Callithrix jacchus: one gene and its partners. The protein of the gene in region 3 binds, or shares a complex with, the protein of the main gene of each other region. Links are inferred from orthologs where the notes say so. Each region holds a gene or a part of one and is shown on either strand. Other genes may lie near its edges.

Region 1 (3,746 bases), on a different chromosome or scaffold from region 3:
GGGTCACTGGGAAGACCTCTGTGGAGACACACAGTCCTGGGGGAACCCTAGTACACCTGTCACCTCTGTGTGGCCTCAGGCAAGGCACTTAATGCCTCTGGGCCTCAGTTTCCTTATCTGTAAATGGGGCTGTGAGGAATGAATGAGGAAATGCATGGCACATGGAAAAAAAGAAGGAGCTCACAGGGATTTTGGTGAGGGGCACTGTGGCTCTGCCACCACATACTTCTCCAGACCCCGAAGAGGCTATAGAGTGCCTGGGCCTGAGGGAGGTCCCTGACCCTCCATTCAGCCCACCCAACCTCATCTGGGACCTGGGTTCACATCTAGAAGTTCATCCTGGCCTTCTCACAGCGCTCCCACCACCTCTGTGACCCCTCTCCCTGCACAACTCTGCAACTGGAGCTTTTATTTTGCTGAGGCATTCCCTGCCTGGAGAGCTAAAAAAGCCTCCAAAACAAACAGTGCTTCTTACCCCTCCCCGAGCTCTCCAGAGTGGAGAAGTGTCTGATTTCCCGGTTCCCAAGCTCCACGAGGTCTGTGCAGTGAAGTCCCTCTTCAGATGCCTCCCCCGGCGAGTGCCTCCTGAGTTACTCACAGTGGTTGGGCAGTTGTCAGGGATCCAGCCTCCCACTTATGTAAGGCATAATTATTCTGCCCACCCGGCTCCAGCCACCACAGCAGCCAGCAGCAGGGGCCAGGAAGAGCCCATGCCCTCCCCAGACCCCCATAGGGCTTCCACTGGCATGCACCCTCCAGGGCAGGAGAGTGGTTGACCCCTGATGAGGGGGTGCCCGCTGCTACCTGCCTCCTGCTCACTCTGCAGTGGAGTCCCAGCAGCGGGGGCCTTTCCAGCAAGAATGAAAGCAACAGCGGGATGCATGCAGCCGGTGTCCCCTGGTGAGCACTGGCCCTCGCCAGGCTCTCTTTGAGTGAAAGAACGCCTCAGAGCTCATTAGCATTCACCACCCCACACCCCACTCCCGCGTCCACAGAAGCAGGTGTGATGACTTCCAATTTACAGAAAAGAAAACTGAGACCCAGAGACACCAGGGAGCTTGCTGGGGTGAGGCAGCCCATTCATTACAGCTATGTCCGGTTTGGAAATCTCTCACAACACAGCCTGCTGAAACTCCGACGCACCAAAAACATCCTCTCCTCTTCCTGAAAAAAAAAAATTCCCCTTCTGCCCTCCAAGTCTCGTCCTTCCCCCCTCCGCATGACAAATCCTGCTGCCGCCACCTCACAAAAATTTCCAGGAAAGCCAGCTACTTGGAGAAGAGCAAATCCCTTGCACAGCCAGCACCCTGGCCTGGCGGCTGGCCCAGATCCCAGGCAGCTGGGACGGGAACCAGATGGGGTGAGCGCCCCAAGTGCAGGGAGAAGCTTGCAACTCAGAGAGGAGTCGGTACAGAGGGGGCTGCACCTTACGGAGGGGTGAGAGGACAAGGGAGGTTCCTGGGGACACAGGACTGCAGGACGGGGTGGAGGTCAGCCAGGGAAGGGGTAACATAGGGCCTAAAGGAGAGGGAGAGTTGGGGGAGAGGAGGTCAGGCGGTTCTGAGCTGGGGTATAGCCAGAGCACCCACATAGGGGCTACAGTGAGGCCCGCAACAACAGGAGCACTCTGGGGCCCAGATGGAGACGCAAGCGATATCCCAGCCTAGATACAGCCCTGGGTCCCGAAACTGGACGTGGGACTGGGTGCTGACCAAGGATCCAGGTGGGGGCCAGTGTGAATCTCACCCGGGTCCCGCTGACGGAGAAGATTGGGAGAGTTCCTGTCTAGGCTGCAGCCATAAGGCCCAAATGAGGTCAGAGTGGGGCTCCTGACTTGGATGGGTGGGAACAAAGTCCTCGCCTGGGTTCAGCCTGGGTGATCTCGAGCCTGAGTGCAGTCCCAAGGCCTAACCTGGGGATCCAGGTGAGGTCCCAGGCTGGGGCCGGTCCTGGGAACCCAAACAGGAAGGGGTTCCGGGACAGGGCGCCGCTGCTAGGTCAAGGACAGGATAGGGTGGGACCACAGAACGGTCAGAGTTTGCAGCCCGACCCCAGACTGGGCCCGGGGTCAGGACAAGGTTCCGGCGGGGAGCGCCTACCTTTGGACTGGGGCATGCTGGCGGGCTGGCTCGAGGCTGGCGACTCCATGCTGCAGACCGGTCCGGGACGGCGGCGGGGACTAATCTAGAGGACAGCGGGCTCCACCGGGGCCGAGCACGCTCATGGCTGCGGGCAGATAGCCCGGGTCAGGCGGAGGAGCAGAGGCACGCGGCAGCGACTGCAGCGGGACGCGTCCGCAACTGGCGGCGCCAGAGCCAGACTGGGCAGCGCCCGGTGTACCCCGGCCGAACAGCGCTAACTTAGGCCCCACCCCTGCGTGCCGATTGGCCCTCCCGTTTCCAAGGCCTGTACCCCGCCTATCAGACGCCGGCTGTCCCTGCCTATCAAACATACGCCCAACCACCCCGTGGGCCCAAGATCCTGGTCCCTCTCGCTCTCTGTCAAGTCCGCCCGCCGCCCGAAAAAACAAGGCCCGGCCAGACTCCGCCCTCCTGATCTAAAGCCTCGCCCCTCGCGCTGCCCGTCAACACGCAAGCCCCGCCCACTCCCGGGACCCACTGAGCCCGCAACTCCCTGCTGGCGCCAGACCCCCCCCAGCACCCCCAGACCCCGCCCAGCACCTCCAGACCCGCAGCCCCGGCGGGTGCGCTGCGAGGGCGCGTTCTCCTGGGTGCTTGGTCTGGAAAAACCCCGAGATCCCCAAAGGTGGTGCGGCTGGGCCTGGCGAGGAGGCCGGGGGTTAAAAGCAAGCTGCTGGGTTGAGACCGGGTTTCAGATACGAGTCGGCAACTTTGCAGCGGGACTGGCCTCGGGCAGGTCGTGACACCTGAGCCTCAGTCTAAGCCTCTGTGAGCGGGCGGCGGTGACAGCCACCTCCCGGCGCTGCTCGCTAACACGCACGGAGAGCCCCGCGCCAACAAACGTTCACTTGAGCCCGGGCACCAGGCGCCAGTCCAGGGCGTGGAGTCGGTGGTGAGCTCAGCGATGCCCGGTGACAAGGCAGCACGAGGAGCTTTCGTGGCTGGTTACTGTTGCCCCTGTTCTACACAGGGGGAAACTGTGTCTCAGAAGGAGTGAGGTGGCATGCGGTGCATTTTATCCCGCGAGCCCCAGGCCCCATCCCGGCTCTCTCCTGGGCCTTGGTTCTCTCCACTCCTGCTAAGACCTCAGTCTGCTCATCTGCATAATGGGTGGATGGGCCAGTCCTCCCTCTGCTCCCACACAGAACCTGGGGGAATTTCAGGAACCGCTGACCAATCTGGTGCTGGGATCAGGTGACTCTGGATGTAAATCCAGGGCTAGTGAGGGCAGAATGTGCCAGGCAAAGGGCAATGGGTCAGCCCCTGGCCTCCAGGCAGACATGAGTGTGTACCCTGTCAGGGACCTCACGTGAGGGAAGCAGATTCCACCACCTGCCAGAACGCTTGAGGCCAGGGCTGACCTCTGCTTGCCCAGGTGTAAAGTGGGGGTGATGCAGGCCCCGTGCACACAGCGGCGGGGAGGGCCACGTGAGATAAGAGGGAAGCCTTGGAGTCATCACCTTTCTCTTCCTGCATCTCCTGTTTACCCTTCCCAGGTCATGGGGTGGAAATCATGAGCCTGGGGCTCAGACCCGTACAAACTCCAACACCAGCTCCCCCACTTACTAGCTGGGTGACCTTGGAGAAGTCACTGAGAAGCTCTGT
Region 2 (3,231 bases), on a different chromosome or scaffold from region 3:
GAATGGAATCTCAGAATATCAAAAGTAACATTTATTGATTTGATATAGAATAAGTTTGTTGCTGCCTGACTTTTTTGGTTTGTAAAACATGAAGCATTTCACAAGTTGGATCATCCCACCATTTCTACCCTAAGCTGCAGACAGTCTCCTTGCACCCGCACGGGTTTTACCTCTTTGCCTGCAGCTGCTTAGAGCGGTCTTAGAGCTGCAAAGCTGATATTTACTGTCTCGTACCAACAAGGATGTTGGTAATTTTAAATTTCTCTGGCTTTTAGCTTGTGACGTTATTATCTTACTCTGTGTCTGTTTTCTTTTAGATTTTAGATTTTCTGACATCCCAAGGGGCCTTTATGGACTGTTGTTTTTCCCTCTTTGCTCCTTCTTTGGTGAAATTTAGAAAATAATATTCAAAAGCAGTCCTAGGGAGGTTAGGGAGAGAAAGAACCACAAATCTAGGCAATTTAAATCTTTAGTTTCTGATGAATTGTAATGAATGAGATATGCATCATAATCAACATTAAATTCAGTAACCTTTTTTATTACTGAAAAATGACAAGCCAAATCAGTTCAACTCTGACCATGATAAAAACACAAATATCTTACTAAAATAAATACTAAATACTAACTAGCAGAATTCAGCCAAGGGTGGGATGAGTGAGGTACCTGCCTTGGGCACAAAATTTAAGGGGGCATGAAAAGAGGGGGGGAAAGAAAACCCCAAACCAAAAAACTCAATAATCAAGCTAAATGATATTTTAATGCAATACTTTAAAAAGAAAACAAATGCAAAAAAAAAAAAAAAAAGAACAAAATATCAACATGTTAAATAAAGACAAGATCAGTAACAGTGCCTTGCCAGGCCATACTGCAGCCTCAGCCAAAAGGAAAAATCAGTAACACTGATCCTGTCTTTACCTAAAAATGTGAATTTTTTGTTGACCTCACTTGCTTTACCCTAGTCCTGGTCCTGCCAACAAGAATATCAGTGGTTAGGGTAAAAAGATGGCATAACCCTTCCTCTAATGTTCACTTGAGGGAGAAAATATGTGTAGTGATTTTCAAGTCCAGTCATGATCACTGGGCAACCAGAATCCATAAGTTTGGCCCTCGTTTGGCTATAGTCTCAATTAAAAGGTATTTCCCAATCCAAAGCATGGAAGTATTGTCTTTTTGTTAATTCAATCTGAAGGGATCATATTATCAAAAGCCATTACATTTCTTTTTTCTTAACCTGCTTAGAAAAACTCATGGAGTTCAGTTCATCAAAAGTTCCTCCATCCACGGTGGTCCCCTCTGGCTCTCTCTTTATTGGATTTGGCGGGAGAGGGCCTGTGGGGCTTTTTCCGGTATTCCACTTTTGTCCAGCTCCCCTCACTGACTTTGCTCTCCTCTTCACTGGCTCTTGAGTCAGTCTCAGGGTGCAAAGGCATCCCTGGTATGGTCTTGGGTTGGTGGAGGTCCCTGGGGCTTCTCTTGAAGTCAGGGGACTGCTGAGCCTTGAGTGCTGACTGAGAAACCCTGTAGAACTTTCCAGGATATCTCTCTCTTGAAGGAGTGGAATGCTGACTTTTTCCACTGTATCTTCCTCTAGGAGAAGAATTGAGTGATATACTACCACGACCATATTTGTTCCTGCTTCTGTCTGAGTAGCGACCCCGCTCTGAAGAGGTGTCCGTTTTGCCACTGGAAAAGCCGCTGTCCCTAGAGTTGAGATGTAGGGAAGAGAAGTTTTTGTTCAGCCCATACTGAGTAGGAGAGGAGCTTCTGGATTGGTTCACAGGTGTAATCTGTTGATACTTAATGGGCACCTGGGTCCGTCTCACAGCAGCAGCATAGGAATCCTGGCCATCAAAGTGTGAGAAGTATGGTGAGCCCAGAATAGGATTGCTCTGGGAACGCTGTAAGGAAGTGTTGGATGCAATCTGCCGCATCCTCAGAGTATCTAACCACTGGCAATCAGCACCTGCAGGAGAAATGGAAATGAGTATCTTTTAAGCCACACTAAAGCTGCATGCCTAATTCACATGCCTGTCTTAGGATAATTCAAGGCTGTTTGCGCTGCTGTAAGCTTTGCCATTCATAGAAATTCTAGGCTATGTATAAGGACATTTCCTTTATTACAAATACTTTAAAAAATAAGGACATTTACACTTATTGGATAGATGCTGTGTGCTTGGCATTGTTCCATGGGCTTCACTTACACTTTCTCACTTAATCCTCTCAATAATCTTCTTGGGTAAATATTGATAGTCTTATTCGATAAATGAGGAAGCTTGGGAGGTCAAATAACTTGCCCAAGATCACTCAGTCAATAACACCAAGTCCTTCTGCATCTAAATCCCATCTTCTTCCTACATAGTAGTGTTGTCACTTCTAGAAAGTGTGTTCAGGTGTCAGTGGCATGTTTAGTAAACAAAAGGTTTTTTTTTTGCAACGTGCACATTTAAAACCTCAAGGACCCTAAATGCAGATAAAAGAAATGAGGTTCCAAAGGTTGAGACAGCTAGAGATTATTTGGAAGAGAGACCGTTCATGTGTCCAGAGGAGAGATCCTGAGGCTTGGGAATAAAATGTATTTTCAGCAGAAAAAATGAAGCTGCCTTGGCAAGTAGGAAGAAGTTAAGGTAGAATAAAATGGTTGGCCGGGCATGAGGGCTCACGCCTGTAATCCCAGCATTTTGGGAGGCCGAGGTGGGTGGATCACAAGGTCAGGAGTTCTAGACCAGCCTGACCAACATGGTGAAACCCCGTCTCTACTAAAAATACAAAAATTAGCCAGGCGTGGTGGCACGAGCCTGTAATCCCAGCTACTCAGGAGGCTGAGGCAGGAGAATTGCTTGATTGCCCTGGGAGGTGGAGGTTGCAGTGAGGAGAGATCATGCCATGGCACTCTAGCCTGGGCAACAGAGCGAAACTCTGTCTCTCAAAAAAAGGAAAATGGTGAATTAACAAGGATCATTTAGTAAGGTATATTTCAGTGAATAAGCAACTTCCTCACACCTGAGATCTTTTCTATTTTCCTCCGAGCCTGAACAATGTTGCCCATGTTCTAGAGTTCCTCCGTGGTCCTCCAGGCCTCAGCTTCCTCAGCTACTCCACCCCCTGCTCATGCAGATGGCATGTCTGGAGGATATCAGAGCATGCACATGTCTCTGTCTCCCTCACTGCCTAGGCACTCACCCCTAAGGTGAGTGACTTGTCCAGACAATTCCAGAGACTCCTCCCAGGCTT
Region 3 (3,746 bases):
ACTGACCCCTTGCAGACAGAAAAGGAGGGGAAACTCAAGGAAGCTCAACTTCCCAAGCCTTCTGGGACTCTGCTGGGGCCAAGCCCCACACCCTCCCACAGCCATCCTCCATTCTCCCTCCCCAGCACTGAGCTTCTCTCCTTAAAAGACCAGTTCCCCCACCAGTGAACAATGCACTCTAATCCTCCATTGTAAAAGTAAGGCCCTCTCTTGACGCCCCTCTTCTTCATTTGGCTCCAATCCCATTTCTCTGCCTCCTTTATAGCAGGCCCCCTTGTCTGTGCCTGCACTGCTGTCCCCAAATCCTCCCATCCCTTCTCATCCCCCAAGTTCCCCATCCAGCTCCAGTCAGACTGTTTTGATCATGGTCACCAGTGACCTCCCATTGCTCAATCCTAAGCCCTCAGCCTGCTTGCTCTGCCAGGGGCATTGGTCATAATTGCTCCACCAGGGGCATTGGTCATAATTGCTCCCTCCTTCCCCCTTGGGGCACCCCAACTCTCTCATTTTCACTCTTTCTGTCTTCCTGGCTGGTTCCTAACACCGGGGGCCCCAGCGCTCAATGGCTGGACCCCTTCTCTTCTCCATAGTGCTCCCTTCCTAGATGAAGCCACCTGCTCTTGCGGCTTTAAATACCAGCTATAGGGTGACGATGCCCACAGTTTCATTTCCAACTCCAACCTCCGCCCTTAACTTTTCCCAACTGCTTAATCATCGTTGGTGCCTAATGGACAGCTCACACGACAAGCACAAAACCAAACTCCTGATCTCCCCCGTCGCAACTCCCATTGCAGTTCACGGCAGCTTCAAACCTCCAGAAGCTTGAGCCAAAAACTCAGAATCATCCTTGATTCTACCTTTCTCTTGCACCCCAAATCCTATTGACATAGCCTTTGAAATATATCCCAAATCTGAAGGTCTGGGGTTTTTTTCTATTTTTTTTAACCACCTGTGGGCCATGGTGTAAGCCACTTTGGTCTCTCCCCGGAACAATGTACTGATCCTCTCACCAGGCTCTCCTTTTGCCCTTAGTCCACCCATCACTATCCATTCTCCACCCCACAGCTGGATGGGCCTGCCAGACCCCAAGTCAGAGCAGGTGACTTCTCAGCTCCAAACCAGGGCTCCCACCGCGCTCAGAGTAAAAGCCAAAGCCCCCCCACCCGCCCGCACAGATACTCACAAGGCTCGCCCTTGCCTCCTGATGACTGCCCAGCTGTCGTGGTCTTGGGGAAGCCTTCCCTAACTGTGCTATATACAATGCAATACCCAGCCCCAGCACCCCATCCTGCTTCCCCGCTTTGTTTTACTCGTAGCACTTCCCACTGCCTGCCATGCCACAGATTTACCTCTTTCATTGCTGTCCATTCCTTTCCAGAATGTGCACTCCATGAGGGCAGGGAGTTTAATCTGATTTCCCCATTGCTCAGTCTCACATCTCATTCAGTGCATGAATGATGACTGCTGGAATGGGTGAAAGAATGGATGTGCTCTGCATGGCTCCAGGAGACAGATGTGGAACCAAGTGCAAAATCTGTAAGCCACAGATTTTAGGTAAAGGAAACAAGAGCCGTAAGACACTGAAAAGCCACCTCATCAGTAATAAGCTCCCCACCACCAGGCATGTGTTGCAGAGGGCTTCTGAACTGGGTTGGAGGGAGGTGGGCTGGATGAGGATGCTTCCAGCCTTGATCCCAGGGTGCAGAGAGGCAGAGGGACCTTGCGAGGCCAAATTCAAGGGCTGCAGCAACCCCATGGCTGAGTGATTGGGACAGGCAAGTACAGGCAGTGAGGATGTCACTCTGGTCTTCTTCACTAAGGGGTTGGGGAGGGTGACAGGGCAGGCGATCCCCCTCTGTAGAACAAGGACCTTGGAGGAGGCCAAGTCACAGCCCATGGGAAAACCAAGGCCATGGCAAGAAGCCCAAGGGCTCAGAAAAAGCAAACTTGGAAGCGGGGGTCCAGCCTCCAACCCTCATGCAGCTTCAGGAGGCCCTCCGCAGGGCTATTGGGTGGAGGGCTTTTCAGTTCATTGGAATGTAAGCAGGACCAGACAGCTGCTCCGTCAACTTGAGAAGCAGAGAGCAAACAGCCGGGGGATGTGGCCACACAGGTCCTGGTGTGGGCTATCTGGGGAGGGATGGATTTGAACTTAGATCTCACACCCACCAAGGGAGAAGGAGGAGGCAGGAGATTCCCCTAAGAAGTGCAGACAGCAGCAGTAGGATCCTCCGGGCAGACCCTCTCACACCACTCACTGGCATGGTGAAGATGAGGAAACTGAGTCCCACAGAGAGGAAAGAACTCAAAAGAATGGCGCCCTCAGAGACCTGAAGCCCGGGCTCCTCAGGACTTTCCACTCCTGCCAGGAGCCTCCCCAACCTGGAGATGTCCCCTTTCCTTCTCATGTCCCATCTACACCCGGGACTCCCCCAGGAGAAACCGAGGCAACCCTTCTCCAAGCCCTGCAGCCAAGACTGCTAGACTGCTCGGACGGACGCCAAGTGTTCGAGTCCTGGGGGCGGCACCATGGACACCCACAGTCTTCCCGCAGCCCACCCCCAGGCGCTAGGCACAGGCCTCGCGCCAGGAAACAGCACTCACCGCGAGCCGCCGGCGCCCGGACTCCCAGGCCTGCTGTGGGCCACGACTCCGGGCTCCACCTCCGGCTTGGGCTGCGCCTCCGTCTGCGCGGGCGTTCGGCTCCACCCCCGCCTGGACCCCGCCCCTGCTCTGCCCGGACGGCCGCACCCGCTCCAGTCCCAGGCCACGCAGCCCCGAGAGCGCCCACTCCAGGGCTGGCGAGGCTCACAGGGGACAGGGAGGGAGGGCGCAGGAAAGGGGCCGGGCCTGTCTGCGGGGCTGGACGGTCCTGGCTGGGTGCCCTGGTCAGCAGGCCTCCCTTTCTGGGCCTCATTTCAACCAGGAGGGAACCGGACAGTCCTCAGAACAACCCGCTTCCCAACACACACACCACGCACACACTGCTTCCCAACACACATATACACACACACCGCTTCCAACACACACACACACACACACCCCGCTTCCCAACACACACACACACACACACCCCGCTTCCCAACACACACCACACACACACTGCTTCCCAACACACACACCACGCACACACTGCTTCCAACACACACACACACACACACTGCTTCCCAACACACATATACACACACACCGCTTCCAACACACACACACACACACACCCCGCTTCCCAACACACACACACACACACACACCCCGCTTCCCAACACACACCACACACACACTGCTTCCCAACACACACACCACGCACACACTGCTTCCCAACACACACACCATGCACACACTGCTTCCCAACACACATATACACACACACCGCTTCCAACACACACACACACACACACACCCCACTTCCCAACACACACCACACACACACTGCTTCCCAACACACACCACACACACACTGCTTCCCAACACACATATACACACACACCGCTTCCAACACACACACACACACACCCCGCTTCCCAACACACACACACACACACACCCCGCTTCCCAACACACACCACACACACACTGCTTCCCAACACACACACCACGCACACACTGCTTCCCAACACACACACCATGCACACACTGCTTCCCAACACACATATACACACACACCGCTTCCAACACACACACACACACACACACCCCACTTCCCAACACACACCACACACACACTGCTTCCCAACACACACCACACA

What was found.
Region 1: NOD2 (region 3) and MAP2K3 share a complex: the UniProt entries of both Homo sapiens proteins name them as parts of the signaling complex. The link is inferred for Callithrix jacchus from reciprocal best matches to the Homo sapiens genes NOD2 and MAP2K3.
Region 2: NOD2 (region 3) and MAP3K20 share a complex: the UniProt entries of both Homo sapiens proteins name them as parts of the signaling complex. The link is inferred for Callithrix jacchus from reciprocal best matches to the Homo sapiens genes NOD2 and MAP3K20.

The regions. Positions count from the first base shown.
Region 1 is NC_133506.1:64,704,197-64,707,942, forward strand, and holds the start of MAP2K3 (dual specificity mitogen-activated protein kinase kinase 3), read right to left. Parts: upstream 2,323-3,746; 5' UTR 2,149-2,322; coding exon 2,100-2,148; exon of another isoform or gene 476-2,099; intron 1-475. UniProt on the Homo sapiens protein: Dual specificity kinase. Is activated by cytokines and environmental stress in vivo. Catalyzes the concomitant phosphorylation of a threonine and a tyrosine residue in the MAP kinase p38.
Region 2 is NC_133507.1:56,214,453-56,217,683, forward strand, and holds the end of MAP3K20 (mitogen-activated protein kinase kinase kinase 20), read right to left. Parts: intron 1,964-3,231; coding exon 1,263-1,963; 3' UTR 512-1,262; downstream 1-511. UniProt on the Homo sapiens protein: Stress-activated component of a protein kinase signal transduction cascade that promotes programmed cell death in response to various stress, such as ribosomal stress, osmotic shock and ionizing radiation.
Region 3 is NC_133521.1:8,618,678-8,622,423, reverse strand, and holds the start of NOD2 (nucleotide-binding oligomerization domain-containing protein 2), read right to left. Parts: upstream 2,668-3,746; 5' UTR 2,605-2,667; intron 1-2,604. UniProt on the Homo sapiens protein: Pattern recognition receptor (PRR) that detects bacterial peptidoglycan fragments and other danger signals and plays an important role in gastrointestinal immunity.